3 linked regions of the Rhinolophus ferrumequinum genome follow. The protein of the gene in region 1 purifies or fractionates together with the protein of each later gene. This does not show direct contact. Links are inferred from orthologs where the notes say so. Each region holds a gene or a part of one and is shown on either strand. Other genes may lie near its edges.

What was found. The genes of interacting proteins can lie anywhere in the genome.
Region 2: the proteins of VAPA (region 1) and RAB3GAP1 purify together in Homo sapiens (affinity purification with mass spectrometry; 4 studies listed by BioGRID and IntAct, counting the BioPlex papers as one, with this or other methods). This does not show direct contact. The link is inferred for Rhinolophus ferrumequinum from reciprocal best matches to the Homo sapiens genes VAPA and RAB3GAP1.
Region 3: the proteins of VAPA (region 1) and RASSF1 purify together in Homo sapiens (co-immunoprecipitation; 3 studies listed by BioGRID and IntAct, counting the BioPlex papers as one, with this or other methods). This does not show direct contact. The link is inferred for Rhinolophus ferrumequinum from reciprocal best matches to the Homo sapiens genes VAPA and RASSF1.

Annotation. Positions count from the first base shown.
Region 1 is NC_046302.1:8,139,270-8,146,904, reverse strand, and holds the start of VAPA (vesicle-associated membrane protein-associated protein A), read left to right. Parts: upstream 1-4,634; 5' UTR 4,635-5,275; coding exon 5,276-5,354; intron 5,355-7,635. UniProt on the Homo sapiens protein: Endoplasmic reticulum (ER)-anchored protein that mediates the formation of contact sites between the ER and endosomes via interaction with FFAT motif-containing proteins such as STARD3 or WDR44.
Region 2 is NC_046291.1:83,103,918-83,111,851, reverse strand, and holds the start of RAB3GAP1 (rab3 GTPase-activating protein catalytic subunit), read left to right. Parts: upstream 1-4,889; 5' UTR 4,890-4,938; coding exon 4,939-4,956; intron 4,957-5,056; exon of another isoform or gene 5,057-5,058; coding exon 5,059-5,114; intron 5,115-7,934. UniProt on the Homo sapiens protein: Catalytic subunit of the Rab3 GTPase-activating (Rab3GAP) complex composed of RAB3GAP1 and RAB3GAP2, which has GTPase-activating protein (GAP) activity towards various Rab3 subfamily members (RAB3A, RAB3B, RAB3C and RAB3D), RAB5A and RAB43, and guanine nucleotide exchange factor (GEF) activity towards RAB18.
Region 3 is NC_046300.1:6,259,686-6,267,402, forward strand, and holds the start of RASSF1 (ras association domain-containing protein 1), read left to right. Parts: upstream 1-4,672; 5' UTR 4,673-4,827; coding exon 4,828-5,077; intron 5,078-5,934; exon of another isoform or gene 5,935-6,037; intron 6,038-6,975; coding exon 6,976-7,082; intron 7,083-7,523; exon of another isoform or gene 7,524-7,655; coding exon of another isoform or gene 7,656-7,717. Other genes in the region: ZMYND10 (zinc finger MYND domain-containing protein 10), read left to right, coding at 470-561, 824-932, 1,821-1,937, 2,062-2,115, 2,236-2,373, 2,448-2,536, 2,629-2,729, 3,069-3,241 and 4 more. UniProt on the Homo sapiens protein: Potential tumor suppressor. Required for death receptor-dependent apoptosis. Mediates activation of STK3/MST2 and STK4/MST1 during Fas-induced apoptosis by preventing their dephosphorylation.

The sequences.
Region 1 (7,635 bases):
AACTGGGCAAAAAGTGATGGAGACTGAAGTCCAGTCTGCCTGATGTCCAAATCTGTGTTCTTCACCCACATCTACTCTAGGTTTTGTCAGGGCTATACAAAGAAGCCTGTATGTTCAGAGACTATGAGAAGTCAGGCAGGGAGTCAAATGTGTATTTAATGTTCATAAGCACCTTTGGTTTCCTTTAAGAATAACTGTATTTGTGGGAGAAAACACATTATTAACTGCAGTGAATCTGTTTAGCTTACAGGTGCTGTAATCTATGTAGTCCAGAGAAGAAAAATGGAATATCAAGAGGAGAAGATGGGTTCAAAGAATAAGGATGGATTCAATGAAAATGTACAATTTTGGAGGCCAACACTATTGACCCAAACAATTTTGGATACTTATACGCAGCCCTTCTTCTGTTGCTGGTATGGGGTGGGATCTAGCACTTGGTGAAAATGGGAGAGATGGCCACCTTCATACATTCCTGATAGAAGTATAAACTACAACAACCCTTTGGATAAACAGTATGTAGTATGTATTGAAATAGGAAATGTCACTGATAGAGTGGTTGCATCACTGGGAATCTCCCTGTGGAAATAAAAGCATTCTGTAATAAGGAAATGTGTATAAGGATGTTTATTGCCGTGCTATTAGTTGTGACAAAAGCCTAGAACAATTTACACATTCATCAATAGGGAACAAATGGTACCATAGATGGGTATTTTCTGGATTCAGAATCTATTCTCTGTATTCAGCTGTTAAAAGACTGAGTTTGATGCCAGTCGACCTTGTCAGATATCCAGAATACACTGTTAGGTGAATAAAGCAATTGTGAAGTAATATGTTAGAATTCTTGTAAAACAAAACAAAACAAAAGCCCCCAAACCAAACTAGCTATGTTTTTATAAGTATGGATAAAGTTGGGGAGTGATACACAATCCAAGCAGTTAGCACTGATTACCTCCGGGGAGTGGAAATTGGAGGTGTACGAGGCAACTTTATTCATTTGCTTTTGGATTGTGCCACTTGTTACAATAAGGACATATTGCTTTTACAGTATAAAAGATTAATTGAAAAAACACATATTATTCAAATTATTTTTCATATACAAAGATGCTTAATCATATAGTTTTAACTGCTTTAAGCTGTCATACAAAGAAAAGTCCCAGGGTAAGTCTTTTTCCTAATTCTTCTTTTTCCAGACTTGATTTGATCTGGTGCAGCTTCCATCGGCCTTCTCTTGGAACCTATATTTCTCACAGAAGTTTGACATATATGCTACAATAAGCCCCACCAACATATCCACATTTATACAAGCATTGCGTCTCTGTGATACTTGTTGACCTTATGCATATTTCTGTTGGTTATCGCTCTAAAGCATATGTATCAGTTTTAGAAAGAGCTCTTCGTGTGCAGTGATTCTGTTTCATTCATATTTTACCTGCAGCATCATGTTACTCTGTCAAGTGAAAGTTTTCTAGTCCTCACCTTATAGTTAACAATTCAGCAGATTTTTACGCTATTGACCTTCTTGATCCATTCTTGGCTTCCATGACACCTGACTCTCTGCAGCACTCTAAAATCCGAAGCAGGAAGCAACACAATAAAGGGAATTAAGTGCTAATAAAATTTTGGGGAAGGGTGGAGGAGCAGGCTCTAGATGAAGAATAACTCCCAGGGCAAGAATAAACTGCCCCATCAGGGCAGCTGCTGCCTCTGAGGCTGCCCCTCTTACCTCTGACCCAGGGATCAGGAAGCTGGACTCAGGAAGGAACTACTTCTTCTGCTGACCCTGCAACAATTAACTGTGTCTTGACATCCAGGAAGCTGGTACATGGGCACTGGAATGCTAGGCAAAAAGCCTCAAGTCTCTGTGCTCTTGCTTCAGCAGAAAAATAGCCAGAAGGTGCAAAAAGCTGGCCTCCATCTCAGTTCTAACTTTCCGCTATCACATGAGTGTACTTCACTAGTTGAACTTATTTCAAGAACAGAATCCTAGCTGCAAATGGGCATTCATGTTTGTCTCTCCTGCCTGAATATAAGCCTGTAAGGGCAGAGACCATGTCCATTGGCTCATCACTGTATAACCTACCACTGTGCCCAGCACACAGCAATAATTTAACATTTAACATTAATAAGGAAACGGTCCTGGAATCAGGCAGTATTCTAAGCTCTTCATGTGTAATAACTCATTTAATTATCATAACAAACCTCAGATATAGGTATTATCATTCTCCCCAATTTACCAATGTAGAACAGGTACAAAGAGTTCAAGTAAGTTGCTAAGACCACATAGAGCAGAACAGGACTTGAACCCACCAGTTCAGATCCAAAGCCTGTACTCTTATTCAATACATTTTACTGCTTTAATATTTATTGAAAACGTGCCCATTTAAATGTTTACTGAATTGAATTATGCAGAAAATTGATCATAAACATATTCAGAATTATAGAACTCCTCTAAAGTTTAACATGTTTAACTATGGAGAAGATGGTATACATTGTTAATAGCATTTGTACTGGAAACTGGTAGTTTTTTTTTTTAATCCTTGCCAAACCCATGAGATAATCTGTCCAAAGGTGAATATTATTAGTAATTCAAGTAGGTCGAAGTAATATTCAAGGTCTTCACACCTCTTATACTCAGGAAAGCTTGAGAGCTAGAGAAATACGTTTGGATATATTTTGCTAATATCTCAGGAGAGCTGCGTTAATCAATGTAAAAAGAGTAATGAACATTAGGCTATATATCTTTCCATTCCTAGCTTAAGTGTTAAACCTTAGATAAGTCAATTACATTTTAAATGGTTGCTTTAATTACTCTTGGTTGTCATTTTATTGTGACTGAGAAGAGCAAAAATGCACAGAATGAAAAATTAGGTAACTTTCCATAGTTTAGCTCCATTACTGACGTGAGATGCTCTCACCTGTGTTTTCATTTTCATATTTAACAATAAATTAACACTTGTTAACTGTTATAAAGTTGTTCTGAGTAGTGTATGATGATGTTTGTAAAGTTCTTTGAACTGTTTGAGAAAGGTATTGATAAATATACAAGCACAAACCACTGAAATAGATTACCGTATATTTAAATTCCTATAGATTTTAAGATTGTACTATATGATTTTTGAAGCAATATCGAGAAGAGAAAAACAGTTGATTCCAAAGATGATGACTTAAATGGGCAGAGGTTTCTTAATGATACAGACTGGGAAACTGGAATACATCCAATTCTGGCTTCCTATTGAACTCTTGGTGAATGGGCAGCCATTGTCCCATAGGGGAGTGACTGGGAACTTCCTCAGCATGCTATACCTTCTAATTGGTTGTTTGCACAGTGGGGATTCATATGCTTTCTGGTAAGAGAAGTGTCATTCTCGCTGTGGAGGAACCACTTCAGCCACGGCTAACTTGCCCATGGATAAGACATCTTAGGCAAGCAAAAAATTGGAGTTTGTGTCAGTTTTAGGGCTGTCAGTTCATAACTAAAATTATGTGGAACACTATCTTGTGGAGTGAATGTCAACCTCGACTTTTTTTTTTTTTAAAGCTCTAAGCCCCCCCCCCCCCTTTTGGTAAACATACAATTTTTGTATTCTCCTTTAATGGTAATTGACATTTAAAATAAATTTTGTTAATAAATAGAAATCAAAGGAAAGGTAAATTTAGAATATGCTTTTCAAACTACTTAAGCACTCCTATCTTCTGAGATTTTTCATGACTGAAGATACATTCCTCTTGTGTAGCACAATCTTCTGTGAATGCTAGGCTATGTAGTCCAGAGAGCTATTCCCACATGGGCTCTGATACATGGATTGCACCTGAAAACTTGGACTTTGTGCCTACGCCTCCACTACTGTTCCCATTTGTCTCTCATTTATTTTCTAGACTACCTGGGCTGCTCTTTCATGGTAGTAACATCAGTATGTCTTTTGTTTCGTGGTACTTCCTAGGAATTTAAACTCAAGTAGGTTTATTTATAGCACATTTATTTGTTTCATTTAATGATTTTATCCCCATTACCTTGGCAATCGGTTAAAGATTTGTCAGCAACTTTGCTACTGAGATTTTTCTAATTTGGCTCAGTTTGCTACATGCCACCGTAAATGATGCAGATGGAATTCATTTCCTGTATGTTAACGTGACAATTGTTTTGGTTTGGGTCTACCATTAATCAAAACTGATGAATTGACTACAGCAACTGAACGCTGTAGATTTTGACTTTATTTTTAGCTTTATACGTGTGCGTTGTCAGATTTCCCCAACGACGCGTTTGCTTTTAAAATGAGGTTCGTTTCCTCATCTGCTTTTGCATCACTGGAGTATTCAGGAAGCAGAAGAGATTGGATTGGAATACGACACAGAATTTACCTCTACTAATAGAGGATCGGGTAGGATTTGAGAGAAAACCGACAAATCCCGGCATGTTTTCCAAAGAGAATATTTTTATTTCTAACCAGGGGACCTCAGGTCAGTCTCCAAAAGTTTTTGTTTTCTTTTTAGCGCAGACGAGAGGCCATCGGAGAGCCAAAAAGAGTGTCAGCACGCCCAAGCCCATTGGCCTCCAAGAGACCTTACTCTCCTTCCCGTCCACGAACAGCCACTACTACAATTCCCAGCAAGCATCGCGCAGTGCCGCAAAAGGAACAGGCCGTAGGCAGCGGCTCCGCCCTCCGCACAAAGCATGCTGGGAGTTGTGGTGAGTGAGTCTGACTACTCCTTCCTTCCGTTAGGTATTCCCGTTTGGGAGATGGTGATGCACTACCACAACGGGTTCTCCAGTTTTGTAATAGCAGCTAAGCGTGAACGAGCACTGTGCCCGCCTGCCTGGCAGTGCAAACCGCATTAGTTCCACGGAACTTGGTTCCGCCCCTCTCCACACCCGTTCCCTTGACAGCTGGGCTATGCTCCGGGCGCCGACGAGGCCGGGAGTGCGCAGGCGCAACAGCCCGCGCCTCTTAGGGCAGGACTCGAGGGCGGGACGAGTGCTAGGGAGTCCTGGCTCCCGGGGCGCGCACGTAGGCACGCAAAAGCTGTCACGTGGGGTGCCGAGGATCGCAGTGCGCGTGGCCGCGACGGCTGGTGTGAGGTTGAGTCAGTTGTGAGATCCGAAGCTGCTGACCCAGCGGGAGGCCTACCGACCCGGCGACAGAACGGCAAGCGTCGGGGTGCGGGAGCCGTGCGCTGGCCCCATCACAGAGCTCGGGTGAGCCGGCGCCACCGTCGTCCCCCGCCTCCAGCCAGCAAACCGCCGCCGCGGGCGCGCCCCCGCTCTGCGCTGTCTCCGATGGCGTCCGCCTCTGGGGCCATGGCGAAGCACGAGCAGATCCTGGTCCTGGACCCGCCCACAGACCTCAAATTCAAAGGTAGGAAAAAGGCAGCCCCTGACTGGGGTGGGGCGGGCGGAGGGCTTGATTCGGGGCGGGCGGTGGGTGTGGAGGGAAGGTCGGAGGCCGGGGCCTTAGTTGAGCGTCCCCTCCCCCACGCCCCAGCACTCTCGTTCTCCCGCGGCGCCTCGCTCCGGCCCTTGGCCTGCCTGCTCCGCAGCCGGGCCCAGTCCTTCGCTCGGCCGCTCGCGCCTCGGTGCGCGCGCCAGCCCGGGCGAGGCGGAGGGGCCAGGCCCTGGCGCCGCCGCCGCCATCTTGCGGTCCCGCGGGGGCGCCTCTTGGTGCTGCCCGCGCTGCTGCCCGCGTCTGGCACTTGTCCTTAGTCCTGGAGGGCCGTCGGGCGTTGTCTGGGAGGGCGTGGGTGGGCGGTGACCTTCGAGCTTACGCTCTGGTCTGCGGGGGAAAGGGGGGCTCTGGGGCTGGCGCAAGGGCCGCGGTCTCCCGCGCGGGCTGTCACAGGCGCTGGGAGGCGAGGCGCGGCGAGCCAGTGGCGCGGCAGCCCCTGGACTCGGTTCCGAGAGAGAACCACTCCTCGGCCTCCGCTGCCTCAGTCCGCCTTCTGAGGACGGGCTGGGTGGAGCCCGCCCTCGGCCCACGCCGAGGGTTTTGCTCCCTGCCTTTTTGCCCAGTTTGTAAGTCGGCTGTCAGGTACATCGAGCGCTAGGGAGGCGGAGAAGCCCACGAAGTCTTCTGGTTATGACTTACCCGGTTGTATTGGCAGAGACCCAAGCGCGTGCGGGCAGGAAAGCTCTGCGTCAGCCCGAGAATTGATAGTAAGTTAATAGGAGACGTCTTCCTGGTCCTCCGATAGGACATTTCAGCTTACCTTCCGCGTAGAGCAGACCTGGTATTTGCTCCTGTTTAGTCCTTTCATTTAGCTTTTTTTTGCTGCGGAATCTTAAGTGTTTGTGACTTTTGCCTTTACGTTTGCGGTTTTTCAACAAACGCCTGATAAGGGTGATAAGGTGTCACTCAGCACAATTATATTTTTCATAAGAAAAGTTGTAAATAGTTTTAGGAATTTTAAAAGAGTGTATTCTGGCATTATGTTAGAGTAGTATTATATAATTCCTTTATTTTGCAAGCTTTTTAGTGCATTTGTAAGTATCTTTGAATGGAAACGTAAGTGAGCTGCTTGTTAGGTCAGGATTGGTTTTAAGACAACTACGAAATACCTTGACGGGCACTAAGTGCATTTTACGTTTCAAGTTGGTGCGTGGGGCATGATTACACATAGTTTTAACTGGAAGAAAAAGAAAAGCCTGTGGGTAATTATGAAATTACCTAATTCAAATAGTCGTTATTTTAGATTGGAGGAATTTAGTGTAAACCTTTATGGTGTGTATTCTTTCCAGAATTTAAGTATTTTGCTTTTACTCTTTGACAGGCTGAGTTTATAGAGGAAATTTCCTTTATTGGATAACCGTGTGTGTTTTGCTGTTAGGGACTTGGAAGCCTTTTTAACTAGGTTTAGGCCAGGAAATACCGAAAGTTTGAAGCTTTTTCCCTAGAGAAGTTGTAATGTTGCCATAGTAAGAGACTTATAATAGAGAAGCAAGTTAACCAAAAACATTACACAATGACATCCGTATATTTTACTTATTTTATATATTGAAGAATTACTAGCTATGAGTATAGAATAGGCTGTTCTAGTGCTGTGGATGAAAGTAATTCACAAGGCCCATTTTTAAAAATTTGGACATCAATGACTACCTTTTAAAATTGACTGAAAAAGTGTTTCATTGAAAAGTTTATAGGGACACATTCAGTTGGGTCATTTATTTGGCAGACACTTACTGAAAGCTTGTTGCTGTCCCTGTATTCAGAGTATTTAAGCAATGAGTAATTCATTCAGCAGGTATCAGCTGAAGGGAGACATCAAAGGCATATAGATGTTATGTCAGAGGCAAAACAAGTGTGTATGAGGCAAGAAGCTCCTTGCTCCCTGCCCTCTCTTTCCTTAAGGAAGCATTCTGGGAAGAAGCTTGTTTTCCGTTGAGGAGCGGGGGAAAGGGTTGGGCAAGGGAGTAGTGTGGTTTGTTCTACCGCAGATGTGAGAGAATGTAGGGCTTATACTTAGATACCCAGGGGTTTGCTGTGTGTTTCTGTTTACAGGTGGGGTAATGGGGAGGATTGGGAAAGAGGAGGGATAGGATGAATTAGGTGACACTTGGTGGTATTTGGTTTCTTCCTCCTTAATGTTATTCTTTTAGTCAAAAGTAAGTACTTAGCTTTGACGGAATCCTCTCTGTATTCCAGT
Region 2 (7,934 bases), on another chromosome or scaffold:
TAGAACCGGTAAACATGGACAAAATAAATCAACCTGCCAGCAAGTACTGTCTTTTCTGAATCTATCAGACAAGTTAAATTACAAACATAAGAATTGGAACTAGCTGCTCTTGATTTATTATTATCATCTGGAAGATCTTCAATTACTTTATACTTGAAACTTTGTTTTTATATTTTTATTTCCCAGTTTCTAGAACAGGCACATACCAGCTGCTTTTAACAAATGTTTATTGAATGAAAAAAGTGACTACTGAATGGTGGGTATATGAAGACTGTATCACTTTTCTTGAAATTTTCTGGAGATTCCTTGCCTTGTTGACTATACCTTTTTCTAGTTCAAAAAATAGTGGACTAATTAATTAGAATATAAGATATTTTGTGTGTGTGTGTGTGTGTGTGTGTGTGTGTGTGTTCTGAAAGGTCACTTGAATGTTTTCCTACCAACTGATTTTACGAAGAGTTTTAAGAAGTTGGATAACCATCATGACTCCCTTTCTAAACCATATTATAGTTCTTTATGTCTTAGCTCAGACTGTGAGCGCTTTGAGGGCAAGGATTATTTTTTGAATCCCTCCATAGGATTGACCACAGTGCCATGACAGTAAATACTTAATAAGTATTACCGAATGAATGAATAAATGCCGTTGGATAATTTTTATTTAAAGAATGCCTCTCTAAAGAGTTTCTTGTTCTCACAGCATGTCTTCCCCTTCCAGCTCTACCTTCTATTGCAATTGTTCTCAGGGCAGCGACATAGAAAATTCCTGATTCTCTCTGCACAGAGACCATCGAGGTAGATGAGGATGGTGTAGTACCACTGTTGTTGCTCCTCTCACAAACAATGTTTGCTCTCTTACGAAGACCTAATTAAACTGTTAGTTTCCCACATTCCTCTGAGGACTAAGCCACGGGTGATTTTTCCAGGCTTCTGATTTCTTAAATTGCCTATGCGTCAAAATTCTCCCCATCGCCATTATTGGTAACACCTTGACATAACTGAAAATTATGCCAAAGAGAAAATGCCCTTGCATGGAAAAGCCCTTGCCATTGCATGTGTAGCAAAATAACCCTTAATGCAGAAGAAACAAAATCTTTTCTGCTTTGTGAACTAGTGAAAATCTAATAAAAGTGTGTCTCCCCTGGGTACTTTACATCATTAGCATGCTGGCTTCACGCTTCGCTTTAACAAATAACTTACTTTAAAAGTTTCTCCCAGGAGAAGACAAGGAGCCAAAAATATCTTGGAAGAAAACTTTACCTAGCAACCTGATAAGGCTGTTTCATACAGTTTCTAAAATTTAACTTTATGCAGCAAAGGCTTTGTGATTTTTTTTGTTTCTGATTTTGGTATGTCCAGAAACTTCATGGCTAAGCAAGGAGAAAAAAAAAAAGTAATTCCTTACATGTGAGTAGCATTTATGGTTGTCGTTTTTTTTAATTAAATTTATTGGCATGACATTGGTTAATAAGATTATATAGATTTCAAGTGTATACTACTATAGTACATCATCTGCATATTGCATTGTGTGCTCATCACTCAAAGTTTAGTCTCCTTCCATTACCATATATTTGACCCTCTTTACTCTCTTCAATCTTCCCCCAGACCCTTTCTCCTCTGGTAATGTGGTTTTCATAGCACATTTATTATAAATGCTACTACCATAATTGGTTACCTACTACATTCCAGGATATGTGCTAACCATTTTACAGATGTACATATGTAACTTGATCTTTGCCACAAGCCCATGGAGTAAGAAGTATCACTAGCCCCATTTTACTAATGAAGAAACTGAGGTTTAGAGCAGTTAAGTAATTTGCTCAGTCATATAATTAATAAATGGCTAAACGTGGATTTACCTGACCTTAAAACCTACAGACTTATTTCATTTGGTGAGACTTGAAAAGTTAAGTGAACAAGTAACTCTTTTCCTTTTATATGCACAAATCTTCAGATGTTTATGTTTGTATCCGTCTTTTTCATCCCTTGTTTCCCTTCTCAAAGAAAGCCAACTTCCCACATATCACTTCATTTCCTCCCGCTACATCTGCTCTGAATTCCTGGTACCACCTTGCTGTACAGCTCCAGGTGATCTCTGTGGGTGGTACCTCGTGAAGCAAGACTTCAGAATGCAGTGTGAATGGTGCCACCTCTGGATTTCCTCCTCTCACGTTATCAAGAACTCCATCTCTTCCATCTCCCCTTCACCATCAGTCTCTCTCGCCTAGATTATTATTATCAGCATACGAACACAATGACCCTTGAACACGCAGCGGGGGTGGGGTGGGGTGGGGTGGGGTAGGTGGGGGAGGCGGGGTACCCCAATCCCAGCACAGTTGAAAATCCGAAAATCCGAGTATAACTTTTGACTCTACAGTCAGCTTTTTACATCCTCAGATTCTACCAACCAGGGATGGAAAACAGTATTTTCGATCCACAGTTGGGAATCTGGTTGGGAAAGCGAAAATGCTGTTTTCCATCCATAGTTAGTTTAATGCAGATGTGAAATCCGCGATACAAAGGCCTGACAGTGTTGAAAAAAATCTGCGTGTAAGTGGATCTGGGCAGTTCAAACCCATGTTATTTGAGGGTTAACTGTACTATCTTCTGCCTTAAAGACAAACAAAAAACCCAAGAAACAAAAACAATCAATCACCCTCCACCCTTTATTCCTCTCTCACTTGATTTTTCAGCAGCAATCAATATTTACCATCTTGAAACATTCTCCTTTCATGGTTTTTGTGCCATCACTTTCCTTATTTTCCTAATTCTCTAGCCAGTCCTTTTCTGTCTCTTTCACCGAATACTTTTTCTTTATCCATCTCTAAGTACGAAATTTCTTCAGGCCTTTATATGAGGCTTCTTTAATTCTCTTTCTATAGTCTCTTTTTAAATCATACCATCTATTCTTGTTTTTTAAAATACTCCCAAATTTATATCTTCACAAAGTTCTATTCTTATACCCAACCTTCTCCTTGACAACTTTCCTGGAATGTCTTACAAGCCTGTCAGACTTTACACTTGTCAAACCAGAGTTTCCCTGCTCCTTCCCATCTTACTCATCTCAGGACACAGCATCATCCTCATAGAGTTGCTTAGGCTAGAAACCAGAAATTTATGTTTTATTCCTTCCTTTCCCTTATCCCTGCATGTGATTCATCATCAAGTCCGGTCTATCTATTGTTATCTCCAAAATACATATCACATAAGTTCACCTGGTCTGCCGACCACCCTAATCAAAGTCTCTACACCATCTTCACTAGATGCTTTAATAATCACCAGCTATTGCTACTTCTTTTGTCCTACCCACCCCCCAATCTATTCATATAGCATCCAGGCTATTACAAGATGTAAATTGGATCACATCACTCTCTTAAAACATTTTAGTGGCTTCCATTGTGCTTCAAATAAAGTCCAACCCTGGCCTGGAAGGTCCTATATGATCTGGTCATACCTACCTCTCTAACTTCATCCCCAACACTACCCTCTAGGTGCTCTTCTTTGGTTCTTTAGACAGATCAGACTTTCCTGCCTTGGAGCCTCTAGACGTGCTATTCCCTCCGCTTATAAGCCTTCCCTACCCTCAACCTGGCTGCCCGCTTCTTATCCTCCAAGATTCTTCTTGTCAAGATTATCATTAATTAACCTCCACGTTGCTAATAGTGACGCTGACACATGTAGCACCTCTTCTTTCTCTTTGTGCAGCACATTTCCAGTTTCCCTACTAGACCCTGAGTTCCCATATTCAAGCAAATCCTGGGCATGGTATCATTTTATTTGTGAGTACGTCAGTATGTATGAGATAGAATTATTAAATGGTACCTAAAACCCCTTCTGTTCCTCAATGGCTTAAAAAAGGGAAGTGTTCATTGAATAGCATGTTGCTCTTCTCAGAAACCAGGTCCCTAGCACGGTGATTTTTATTTCCTGGATTAATCACCCTGTAAATTCTTAGAGGGGACGCGGTTGGGGGAGGGTGTTACAGCACCTAGCTTAGTGCTCTGCAATCAATAAAAAGAGGATGAATGAAAACAAACTCAATGTACTTTAGTTCTTTTTTATTTATTTATTTATTCTAAATATAGTTGGTATACAATCTTATATTAGTTATATTAGTTTCGAGTATACAATATAGTGATTTGACATTTTTATACCTTACATGTGATCACCCCAAAAATTCTCGTAATCATCTGTCATTGTGTAAACTTAATACTGTCGACTATATTCCTCTCCCCCTTTTCACCCATTCCCCTCCACCTCCCTTCTGGTAACCAACCATCCCCTTGGTCTCTGTTTCTATGATTCTGTTTGTTTTTGTTTTTATTGGGGGAATATTGGTGAACAAGTGTGTTTCCCCAGGGCCCATCAGCTCCAAGTAGTTGTCCTTCAATCTACTTGTGGAGGGCACAGCTCCCTGTCCCATGTGGGATTGAACCCTCAAACCTGCTGTTCAGCACTTGCACTCTAACCAACTGGGCCAGTAGGCCACCCTTCTATGATTCTGTTTTAGTTTGCTCGTTTTGCTTCTAGATTCCACGTATAAGTGGAATCATGATTATCTTCCTCTGCCTGACTTATTTCATTCAGCATAATACCCTCTAGATCCATCCATGTAGTCACAAATGGCAAGATTCCATTCTTTTGCCTTAGGCTTTTTAATTCAATCTCATCCATGGATATCTACAGCCTTGTTTTATCTTTGCTTCTGTTCCCTTCCTGAATTCATTCCTTTACAGGAAAATTTCAAGTTCAAAGCATTTTATAAAAACCTAATTATTTTAGCCTGTGAAGACTTTTTCTAAAGACTCACTAACAGACCGCTGCGCTTCAGAGGGCGGGGCTTTTCGCAAGCCCCGCCCACTCTCCTCCCTTCTTTTCCTCCTCCCCTTGCCCTCCCGCTCTTCTTCCCAACATCCCTAGCGCTCGCCGGCGTTCTTCAAGATGGCGGCTGACAGTGAGGTGAGGTGTTTACTTTCTATCTATACCTATTTCTAAGTTCGCTCCTCTGCATCAGCGCCCCGGCCCTCAATCTCTTTTTTTTTATCCTTTCCGCTCCCGTAGCCCGAGTCCGAGGTATTTGAGATCACGGACTTTACCACTGCCTCCGAATGGGAAAGGTGAGTCGTATCATTAGTTAGCAGTACTGTGGGCCCTGGCGTCCCTCCGCGGCTTCTCCACCTCAGACAAACCACACGTGACGCCACGTCTTTGAGAGTACTAAGACTGCAGGGCCCCCGGGTCTCCGCCTTCTCCTTTCTCGGGGCCGCAGGAAGCCTCTTCCGCGTCTCGCGTCTGGCAAATCCCGCCCCGCCCCCGTCAGCTGAGCCCTTAAGATCCGACTGTCAGAAAAAGTTTTGTTTTCCTCTCAGGCCGCTTTCCTTAGACATTGGTTGTTGCCCACCCGCAGAAACAATTTCTGTGGGTAACACTGACGTCCTGTTTTCATTTACGTTTACTCATTTGTTATCGTAAGCAGTAAATTTCGCAGCTGCTCTGTTTCCCTCTTATGTAACATTGATGTACCCTTTTTAGGAGGAGGCCTTCAGCGAACTTCTGGTGGTCGTCCGTCTGCCACACTCCCACTGTCTCCATCCTGTCTTTCAGGATAACTTTTTAAAATAGTCTGCCTGTGGCTTTGGAACGCCTTAATTCAAGTGGTTACATTTCAGTGGGTAATGTGCCCAGGCTTCCGCGTGCCTGTCATGGTCCATTGAACAGCTGAGTGAAATGTATCTCTGAAATTAATTGAAAGTCAAGTTTGTGGAGGAGTGGTAACTTAGAAGTGTCCTGTTGGGTGTCACAGAGACCCTTCGGTTTTCTGGGTTTTGAGATTCGTAGTTAGCTTGTTGCAACATTTTATAATCTTTCTGTTTGGGGAGAGGAAATTTGTCGATGTCATGTCGTTAGATGACTCAGGAAAATGTGAAAGATCCCTGCTGGAATAATAGTTTCACCTGTGGTACCTTCCAGAGAAGAAAAGTCAGTAAGGAGGCGTAACCACCCTGGCAGGGCTTTGTTGAACAGGTACTATGTGTCCAGAATTATAGTAATGGACCAGAACAGAAAATCCTTGATCCATATTTTAAAAAAACAAAACAAAATAGCAAGTAATTACATGGTAACCCAGCTAGCACTAGCTATAAAAATATTGGTTTCAATAAGCATGATATTATTGTGAATTACAGTTGTTGGAGATACTTTCATAGAAAAGATAGAAAATGAACTGGGCCTTGGAAGTGGGAAGTGGTGTGGGTAGACATGAGAAGGTACTGACATGAGTAGAGACAGGTGAAAAGGAACCTTTGGGACTTCATGAAGAAATGCTTTATTGGAGTGAAAGTTTTTATCTGCTCAAGGGAAATAAGATTAATGAAGATAGGACCAGGTTATAGACAGCCTTCAAAGCTAACTGAGTAAAGGAATCTCTAGATTCGGTGCTTTAAGACCAGTGATTCTCAGTCTTTAGTGTGCATCAGAATCGTAGTTTCTGATTATGTCTGAGAGCCCAGATTTTGCATTTTTAACAAGTTCTCACCAAGGGGACGCTGATGTTTGCTTGTCAGGAGACCATAGTTTAGCAGAACCATTAAGAACAATAGTGAGACACCCTTGATTTTAGTGGCAAAGTGATATGATGAGACTTGTTTCAGGGGATAAAATTCAGAGGTATAATTAAGGCAAGTGACTTATTTGATCCATAGTTAGGTTGGTGATTTGGAGACTGGAGAGAAAGAATAAAAAGGAGGGAGGATTGTAAGACATTTCAAAGAATTTAGATAGATACACTTGATGAAATGTAAAACGAGAAGGAATCAAACATGGAACTGCAGTTTCTTTCCTGAAAGAATGAAAATGAAGTGGCAAAGTGAGAAGAATGCAATTTTAGACGTATTGGATGTGAAATAATAACTTGATGTCTTTAAGGTAGAAAACTGTAACCTGAATCTTGGAGGTTGGGAGTGGGGTGAGGAACATCAGAGTACTGAATGGAAAAATGATCACTTCCCCCAGCTAAACATTTAAAATATCCTAAAGTAGAATATTAAATCCTTTAGCTCCTTATATGGAAATACTTGTGAACACAGTTATGAGTACTACCACAAAGTAGGAAATTTGGTTTTTGACTTTTATGCTCTTGTTTCTAGAATGAAACTAGTGTTTTTACAGTTCATGGGATGGTGTTAAAACTTTGGAGTCTCTTAAACTTTGAGTTTAATGTTTGAATGAAAGTTCTCGTCAGTATGTTATGAGCCATACAATTTATTGAGAGGACTGAATAGAAGCCCTTCACTGTTTATCATTTGTCCATTGAAAAATACTGAGTGCCCATGTTGCAAGCACAATTCAGGGCGTTAGGGATGTGGTGATCAGTAAAAACAGATGATGCCTGGCTTTTACTGAATATACCGTCTAGTGGAAGAGACAGATATGAATTAAATGGTAATGGAAATGAGTCTATAATTGCGATTGAAATAAGAGCTGAGAAGGGGAATAAGCCTGGACTTACAAGAGCATATAACCAAGGAACTTACTATAGAATGAGGAATCAAAGGAACTGACCCTTCAGCTGAAATCTGGAGCTTTCAGGCATAAAGTTATAAAATTTTTCTATACTTTCTCAATACTTGCGGGATACAGTCCAATTTTTCTGTTTTAGCTAGTACTGATAGAATTCTTGCAATAAGTATTTTAAGGTGTTCTTCTTTTGCTGCGAAAATTTTATTATTTTAAATTATTTTTATTATAATACCTCATAGTAGAATTAGAAAGAAAAATCACCTGTAAGCCTACCACCAAGAGATAGCTACTGTTAATATGTTTTAGAAAATTCCTGCTAATCTGTGCGTGTTATAAACTTGTTGTATCAAACCATATTAATACTTATTTCTATAGTTTTCATTTTTTCATTTACTATGAGCATTTCCTTATTTCCTCAG
Region 3 (7,717 bases), on another chromosome or scaffold:
AGGCGGCTCTGGAGCGAGGAAGCCCCGCGGAGGAGCAATGGTGTGGGCCGGGGAGGAACGGCTGCTGGAAGAGCTGGTGGAGGGCGGGGCGGCGTGGCCTCCGTCCGAAGAGAGCGCCTGGGCCCCAGGAGTCTAGCACTCGGGAGACCGGCGAGCCGCAGCTGGTTGTGAGGGAGAAAGCTCCAGGAGTCGGAAGAGTTGCTACCCTCCCGGGGCGAACCCGGTAGTGCCGACCCGGCGCCGGCGGCGGCCAGGGGCGGACCCAAGCCATATTGCGCAAGCGCCGAGGTAGCCGTTGCCAAGGCGGCGAGTACCCACGCGCCGCAACCGCTCTGCAACTCTCGGGTCCCAGACTTTCGCCCCGCGCAACACCGTTGTCCTCGAGTGTGTCGGCACCCCCACCTCAGCGCCGGCCGCTGCCCGGAGTCAGCCGAACCCCGCCTTTCCGCTCTCTGTCCCCGGCCCTGACATGGGTGACCTGGAGCTGCTGCTGCCGGGAGAGGCTGATGTGGTGGTGCGGGGACTGCGCAGGTTCCCGCTGCGCGAGATAGGCTCCGGAGGGTGAGGCAGCTGGATCGAGGGTCGAGCGGAGTCAGGCAGTCAGTCCTTGAGTGGGGGGAGTCCTGACAGTGGGGGCAGGGGTTGCCCAGTGTGGAGGGGCCCGCAGGTGAGGAGGTAAAGCTATCTGAAATTGATGTATACGGCACTGAGCCACCTCTGGGGTCTCAGGACCAGGTTAAGCTTCAATGGAACCCAGCCCTCACCCCATTCAATACTGTACACATGTGCACCTAAATGTATGCACACACATCCTCTGGGGCAGGTGGAACCAGCAGCATGAGAACCTGGAGAAGCTGAACATGCAGGCCATCCTTGATGCCACCGCCAGCCAGGGTGAGCCCATCCAGGAGCTGCTGGTCACACATAGGAAGGTAGGCTGGGGTCACTGGCAGGGTTCCTGCCTTCCCCCCACCCTACCACTCTACCCCTCAGGAATACCCTGGGTGCCTGCTCTTCCCTCTAGCTGGTACACCTGTCCTCCCCAAAGAAGGAGGAAGAGTGTGTTACACATTAGATTTTGCACCCCTGGCGAGCCAGGCCGGGTGCAGAGCATGGCTGACGAGGGAGATACTCATGGACCCTAGAATAGCGTAGGCTGCAGGGGAAGGGACCAAGTTCTAAAGACATTCCTGAAAGGACTGTCAGGCTGGAGGGGGCCCCCACTGAAGTGCGGGTGGAACTTTGGCATGGAAGGAGGCAGCCTTCCCAATATGAGACAGAGGGAGTTAGAAACCAGGGATTGGCTCGGTTGGAACATGAGCCTGGAGGTGGCATCAGGAGATGACCTGAGATATCACTTGACAGAAGAGTTCCCCTGCAAGGAAAAGGTGGAGCCCCCTACTGGGAGGTCGGGTAGGAGGTAGGAATAGGGCCCTGGGTAAGAGCCAGGCCAAGGCACACCAGAACATTGGCAGGCCAGAGGACAGGGACAAAAGGGAGGGCATGAGCAGGAGGGCTGGGGGCTACCTGGATGGGGTAGGAGCGGACAAAGGCACATGTACAGGCGGAGCAAGGCAGCATGGAGAGACGGCAAGGGCCAGTCACAGGGAGCACAGGAGATGCCCCCACAGAGATGTCGGGGGCAACGGGAAATGAAGGTCAAGGTGCAGGAGAGAAGTTGAGAAGGTACTCCTGGAGCGTAGGAGAGTCTAGGGGCACCGGGGAGTTTGAGGAGAGCTGGGATGGGCTGAGCCAGGAATGGGAGGGTTGCCAGGCCAAGGCAGGCCCACCTCATCCCTGTCCTTCACCCCGCCCCAAAGATCCCAACGCTGGTGGAGGAGCTCATCGCAGTGGAGATGTGGAAGCAGAAGGTGTTCCCTGTGCTGTGCAGGCTGGAAGACTTCGAGCCCCAGAACACTTTTCCCATATACATGGTGGTGAGCTGGACTCCTGCTTCATACCCCGCTCACCCCTTCAGAGAGCCCTGGACTAGAGAGGGGAGTGGTAGCCCCTGTCCCTCCATCAGCATCCTCGGACCCTGTTCTCCTTTTTATCTGCCAGGTACACCATGAGGCCTCCATCATCAACCTCCTGGAGACAGTGTTCTTCCACAAGGTGAGCCGCCAGTCCTGCCCACCACTGGCTACTCCCCAGGCCAGGGCCTGGCGGCAAGAGGGGTGTATCTGTGGGGAGGGGGCTTCAGAGACAGAATATTTCCCCTCCGCTTACCCCCAGGAGGTGTGTGAGTCGGCAGAGGACACGGTCTTGGACCTGGTGGACTACTGCCACCGCAAACTGACTCTGTTGGTGGCCCGGAGTGGCCATGGAGGCCCCCCTGAGAGGGAGGAGTCCCAGTACAGCACCCCCATGCAGGTGGGCTGAGGTTCCCTGGGGTTGTCAAGGGCTAGACCCAGGCTCCCCCAGCCACGAGCACATGTGCTCCCCAGGAGCTGCAGAAGCAGGCAGAGCTGATGGAATTTGAGATCACACTGAAGGCGCTCTCCGTGCTGCGCTACATCACAGATTGCGTGGACAGGTGTGCTGGCCTGCCCGGCCTAGGGTCTGCAGTGCAGGGCTGGGAGCCTGGGCCTGTCGCCTCTGCTCACCTCTCTCTACCCTCGCCCCTAGCCTTTCTCTGAGCACCCTGAGCCACATGCTCAGCACCCACAACCTGCCCTGCCTCCTGGTGGAACTGCTGGAGCACAGTCCCTGGAGCCGGCGGGAAGGAGGTAAGAGCCTCCTCCCCCTGCCTAAGCCCCAGCTCACTGCTTCCAGGACAGCCTCCAGGATTGATGGGAGTTGGCAGTTTGAACACAGGCAGACAAACTCTGCCCCCTAGCCCACAGAGGATACCAGGATGCCTCACCCAGAGTGGGCCTCGACCTGGGCTCTGCAGCAGGCGAGGCCCATGTGTCCACTACTGAGGCTTCACCATGCTCTGGAGCAAGCAGCATCACAATCTGGTCAAGACCTGTGCCAGGCAATGGTCTGTTCCCCAACCCACGCAGCCACTCTCTCAAGGAGCCTGCAACGCCTGCACCCAATATGCTGGTTCCTCTCCCCCCCAGGCAAGCTGCAGCAATTTGAGGGTGGCCGTTGGCAGACAGTGGCCCCCTCAGAACAGCAAAAGCTGAGCAAATTGGACGGGCAGGTGTGGATTGCCCTGTACAACCTGCTGCTGAGCCCTGAGGCCCGAGCCCGCTACTGCATCACGAGCTTTGTCAAGGGACAGCTACTCAAGGTGGGGACCTCCTCCCATACTGTCCCCACAGTCCTAGCACTGTCTCAGCCCATCACTGCTGCTTATCTTTGCCCACCTCCCTCAGCCCCAGTCCTGTTTCCAGACGTTGGGCCTCAGGTAACACAGCAGCCAGTGGGACGTGGGCCCTGCAGGAACCCTCAGCCCAGCCTAGGCCTTCTCTGTCCTTTGACCCTCTGGTCAGCACCACTTCACACTGGCTTCTCCTTGACACCCTTTCAGCTTCGGGCCTTCCTCACAGACACACTGCTGGACCAGCTGCCCAACCTGGCAGACCTACAGGGTTTCCTGGCCCAGCTGGCCCTGGCTGAACCCCAGCCCCCTAAGAAGGATCTGGTGTTAGAGCAGGTAGGTACTAGGCAGTTATTTGCTCAGGACCACTGCCCACTTTGCCAGCTCCTCCCTGCCATGCTCTCCTTCCTTCCCCCAGATCCCAGGAATTTGGGAGCGCCTACAGCAGGAAAACAGAGGTAAGTGGCAGGCTATTGCCAAGCACCAACTGCAGCAGATGTTCAGCCCCTCAGAGCAGGACCTGCGGCTGCAAGCCCGAAGGTGAGGCCTGCTGAGCTGAGTGCTGGGAGGGATGCAGAAGGCATGGACGTAGGCAGGGATGCTCCTGTGCCCCCACCCATGAGGCCCAGCCAGCCCTCCCTGACCCTTTTCCCAGGTGGGCTGAGACCTACAGGCTGGATGTGCTAGAGGCAGTGGCTCCAGAGCGGCCCCGCTGTGCCTACTGCAGTGCGGAGGCCTCGAAGCGCTGTTCACGGTGCCAGAATGAGTGGTATTGCTGCAGGTGAGGGTATCCTGGGACCTTAGCGGGTCCCTAAGCCACACTTCCACACCCTCCACAAGCGCTGCATCCTCACAGGCCCACTTGCCTGCAGGGAGTGCCAAGTCAAGCACTGGGCGAAGCATGGAAAGGCTTGTGTCCTGGCAGCCCAAGGTGACAGAGCAAAGTGAAGACTGCAGCTCCTGAGAGCGGGCCACCCATTCCATACACCCCAGCTAGAATGTGCCCCTGAACCTCAGCATTTCCGCCTGGCTTCTGCAAGAGCCCCAATTTCCCAGGTGGTGAGCCCAGCAGGCGGGCTGGAGCTGCTGCCCCATCTTCCCCAGCAAAGCGCTCCCCGCTTCCTGCCGCACCCAGCGGGTAGGCTTAGGGCGCTGCCTCAGCTGGGGCAGGAGGCCTGGGGGGAGGAGGGACAAGGGCGGGGGCCGGATGTGGGGACCCTCTTCCTCTTGCACAGTAAAGCTGGCTTCCAGAAACACGCCTGTCTCCGCGTGGCCCTTTGCGGTCGTCGTCGTTAGGGGGAGGAGAGTTGCTCGTGGGATGAAGGGAGGGAAGGAAAGGAGGGCGGGGACACCGCGAGAGTCCACCGCGGCCCCACTCTGCCTGCGGGCCGACACAGTCTGGGCACCCCGGTTTCTACTGAGCTGCTCTCCTCGGCTCTCGCCCACCGCTCTGCCTGGATCTCAGGGGCGGCGCCGCATCGGGGCCCGCCCCGCGGTCCTACCGGCCCCGCGCTCGTTCGCGCCCAGAGCCGGCCGGAGCCTGGGCCGACCGGGCCATGTCCGCTGATCCTGAGCTCATTGAACTGCGGGAACTGGCACCGGTGGGGCGCGCCCGCCCGGGTCGCACCCGGCTGGAGCGTGCCAACGCGCTGCGCATCGCGCCTGGCACAGCGCGCAATCCGGCAAGGCAGCCGGTCCCGGGCCGAGGTCACCGCTTCCAGCCTGCGGGGCCCACCACGCACACGTGGTGCGACCTCTGCGGCGACTTCATCTGGGGCGTCGTGCGCAAGGGCCTGCAGTGCGCGCGTGAGTAGCGGCCCCACGCGCTGGCGAGAGCGAAATGGGTGGTCAAGGGGCAGCACCGTCGCTGCAGTTCAAGTTGTGTGTGTGTGTGGGTGGGGGAGGGTCGGTGGGGACAGTCCCTGAGGACCAGGTCCGTTACCTTTGCCCCATTTTGGAAGAGAGTGTAGGCACATGTTTTATATCCTTGCTGCGCCCCCCGTGTCTGGGGCACAGTTGGGTAGAGGCAGTTGTCTGTAAATAATAAGGTGCTGATTTCAAGTTTCTTACCTTTAAAATGCCTTGGCCCTTCTTGAGAAAGGCTTTGTGCCTACCAGTCTCTGAGTCCATATTCCCAGGACTGACTCTTCCCAAAGGTTCACTCACCAATGTCCCCTTCCAGAATCCCTGGGGTGAAGGGAATTTTCGCACCTATGGGAGGGGGCTTGGGAAAAGTTAGAACCTTGGGCGGGCCCCCTGCAAGCAGGAATTTTGATGATAGCAATTATGTATCACAGACCCTGTCAATTAGGTGCTAAAACGTGAGACCCAGACACCCACACACCAGCAGCCCTTCTGCCCTCCTGGTAATCAACAGCAAGCAGAAGTTGCTCTCCCACTGGCTATCTGCGAACTAAAATCATTTGGGATGCTTGTACAGCCCTCCAAATCCCTATGCCTGGCCCCTACCTCAGACCTGTTTAATCAATCACTGGGAGTTTATCAGGGATTTTTAAAAACATCTTTCTAATGTGCAGCCTGGGTTGAGAATCACTGCTCTGGCCCATTTAAGAACTTAGGGAAGGTGTCCCAGGCCTGTCTGTGTGTGCATGGAGACCCTCTCATCCAGTACAGGACTCTGTCCTGAATTCAGCTGGGGGACACCGGAGATGTGGCAGAATACAAGGCATGAATAAGGGCTGGGACACTGCAGTGTTCGCCAGCAGGAATAAAGTGGCCATGGAGATGAAAAACAGGACAATTTGGGTATGTGTCAGAGGCAGAAACGGGGGAGGAATAAAGGACAAATTTGGCTTTGGGTTTTTGTTGTTTTGTTTGCCTCAAACAACTGGGAGAATAGTAGCAACTTTTGCTGAGACAAGGAACTCTGGTGAGGGTAAGGAGAAGTGGAAAAAAAGTGAGTTCAATTTTGGCCATGTTGAACTGAAATGTCTATTAGACATCGAAGTGAAGGTACTGACACATAGGAGTTGATCTGAGAGGGAGGCCACTGATGGAAGCCTTGGATCCTGGGTGAGTGTACACAGAGCAGAGAAGCGATCAAGACTGAGCCTCTGTGACACTGCCTGCCATTAGATCTGGGAATTGAGACAGAACCAAGAGGAGCTGCAGGGAAGTAGGAGGGAAAATCGGGGTCATGGGGGTCCATGAGAACCAAGGGGAGCAGCATCAGATTTTGAGGTGAGGATAGAGAAGGGACCACCGGAATCGGCTTTGAGCCTGTTGCTGAGGGACCGAGACCAGGACAGTTTCCTGGAGGGAGGGGCAAGCCCTACTGGAATAGGTAGAGAAGAGTGAAGGCAAAAAATTACAGTGCATGTAGATCAGTGTTGATAAGCTTTAGTGTGAGGGGAGTTGAGACAGATGACTGGAGGGGGCCGTGGATTAAAACTATTTTCCCCTTCAAGGGCACTGGGAGGGGGCTGACAATGTGGAAGGGGGACGTTCTGCGCTAGGCGCTAGAGCAGGCCTGGATTCCCTAACAGCCCGATGCCTTCCTGCCCGTTTCCGGACGCCGGGGACCAACACTAGAATCTGTGTGGCAGTGGGCGGTAACGGGGCCTGAAATGGCCGGTCATGCAGAGCCCGGTGGTCAATGGCCTTCACCCCGGGGCTTCTCTTCCGTCCCCGGGACGCATCGCCAGGCTGGCGCTCCTCCGTCTCACGGCCAGGCCTCTCTACAGATTGCAAGTTCACCTGCCACTACCGTTGCCGCGCGCTCGTCTGCCTGGACTGCTGCGGGCCCCGGGACCTGGGCTGGGAACCGGCGCTGGAGCGGGACACGAACGTGGTAAGTGCGGGGCCGACGGCGAACGGGCGAGACAGGGACGCGTAGACTAGCGGGCCGCATTGCAATGCTTTGGCCCTCCCGGCGTTACGCGCAATGGGCGTTCTGACAGCAGATTTTCCCGCGGCGGAGAGTGGCTAACTCTGCGCGCGCGGGCTCGAAGGGGTGCCGAGGGTGCCGCCTTCGTGCGGACTGCCACAATCGCCCAGGCTCTGCGCCCGCGCAACTTCCGCACCTTTCCGCATCCGGTCCTGCAGCCACGCTGGTGCACATGCGCACACGCTCCGACGTGGTCCCTTGGGGAGGTGGGGCCTGCGGGTGGAGCTGAGTTGAGCTGCCTGGGCGCTGAGATCATTCCCGGAGGCGATGCGCGTGTGGCCCCGCCCCTCGAAGTTCCTCCTCCAATGAGACCAGAGCTAGACTCTGCGGGCTATGTTTCCGTGCTAACGGTCGTGGTGCGGGCACTGGCCCCAGCGCACGCGCACACGGAGAAACGCGCCCGCGCACGCGCGCCTGGGGCGGTGGTGGTAGGCTACCGGCGCACCGGGCTCTGGAAGTTGGCGGGCGGGCGCGGCGATGGGCGAGGCGGACGCGGGGACGCCGTCTTTCGAGATGACCTGGAGCAGCACAACAAGCAG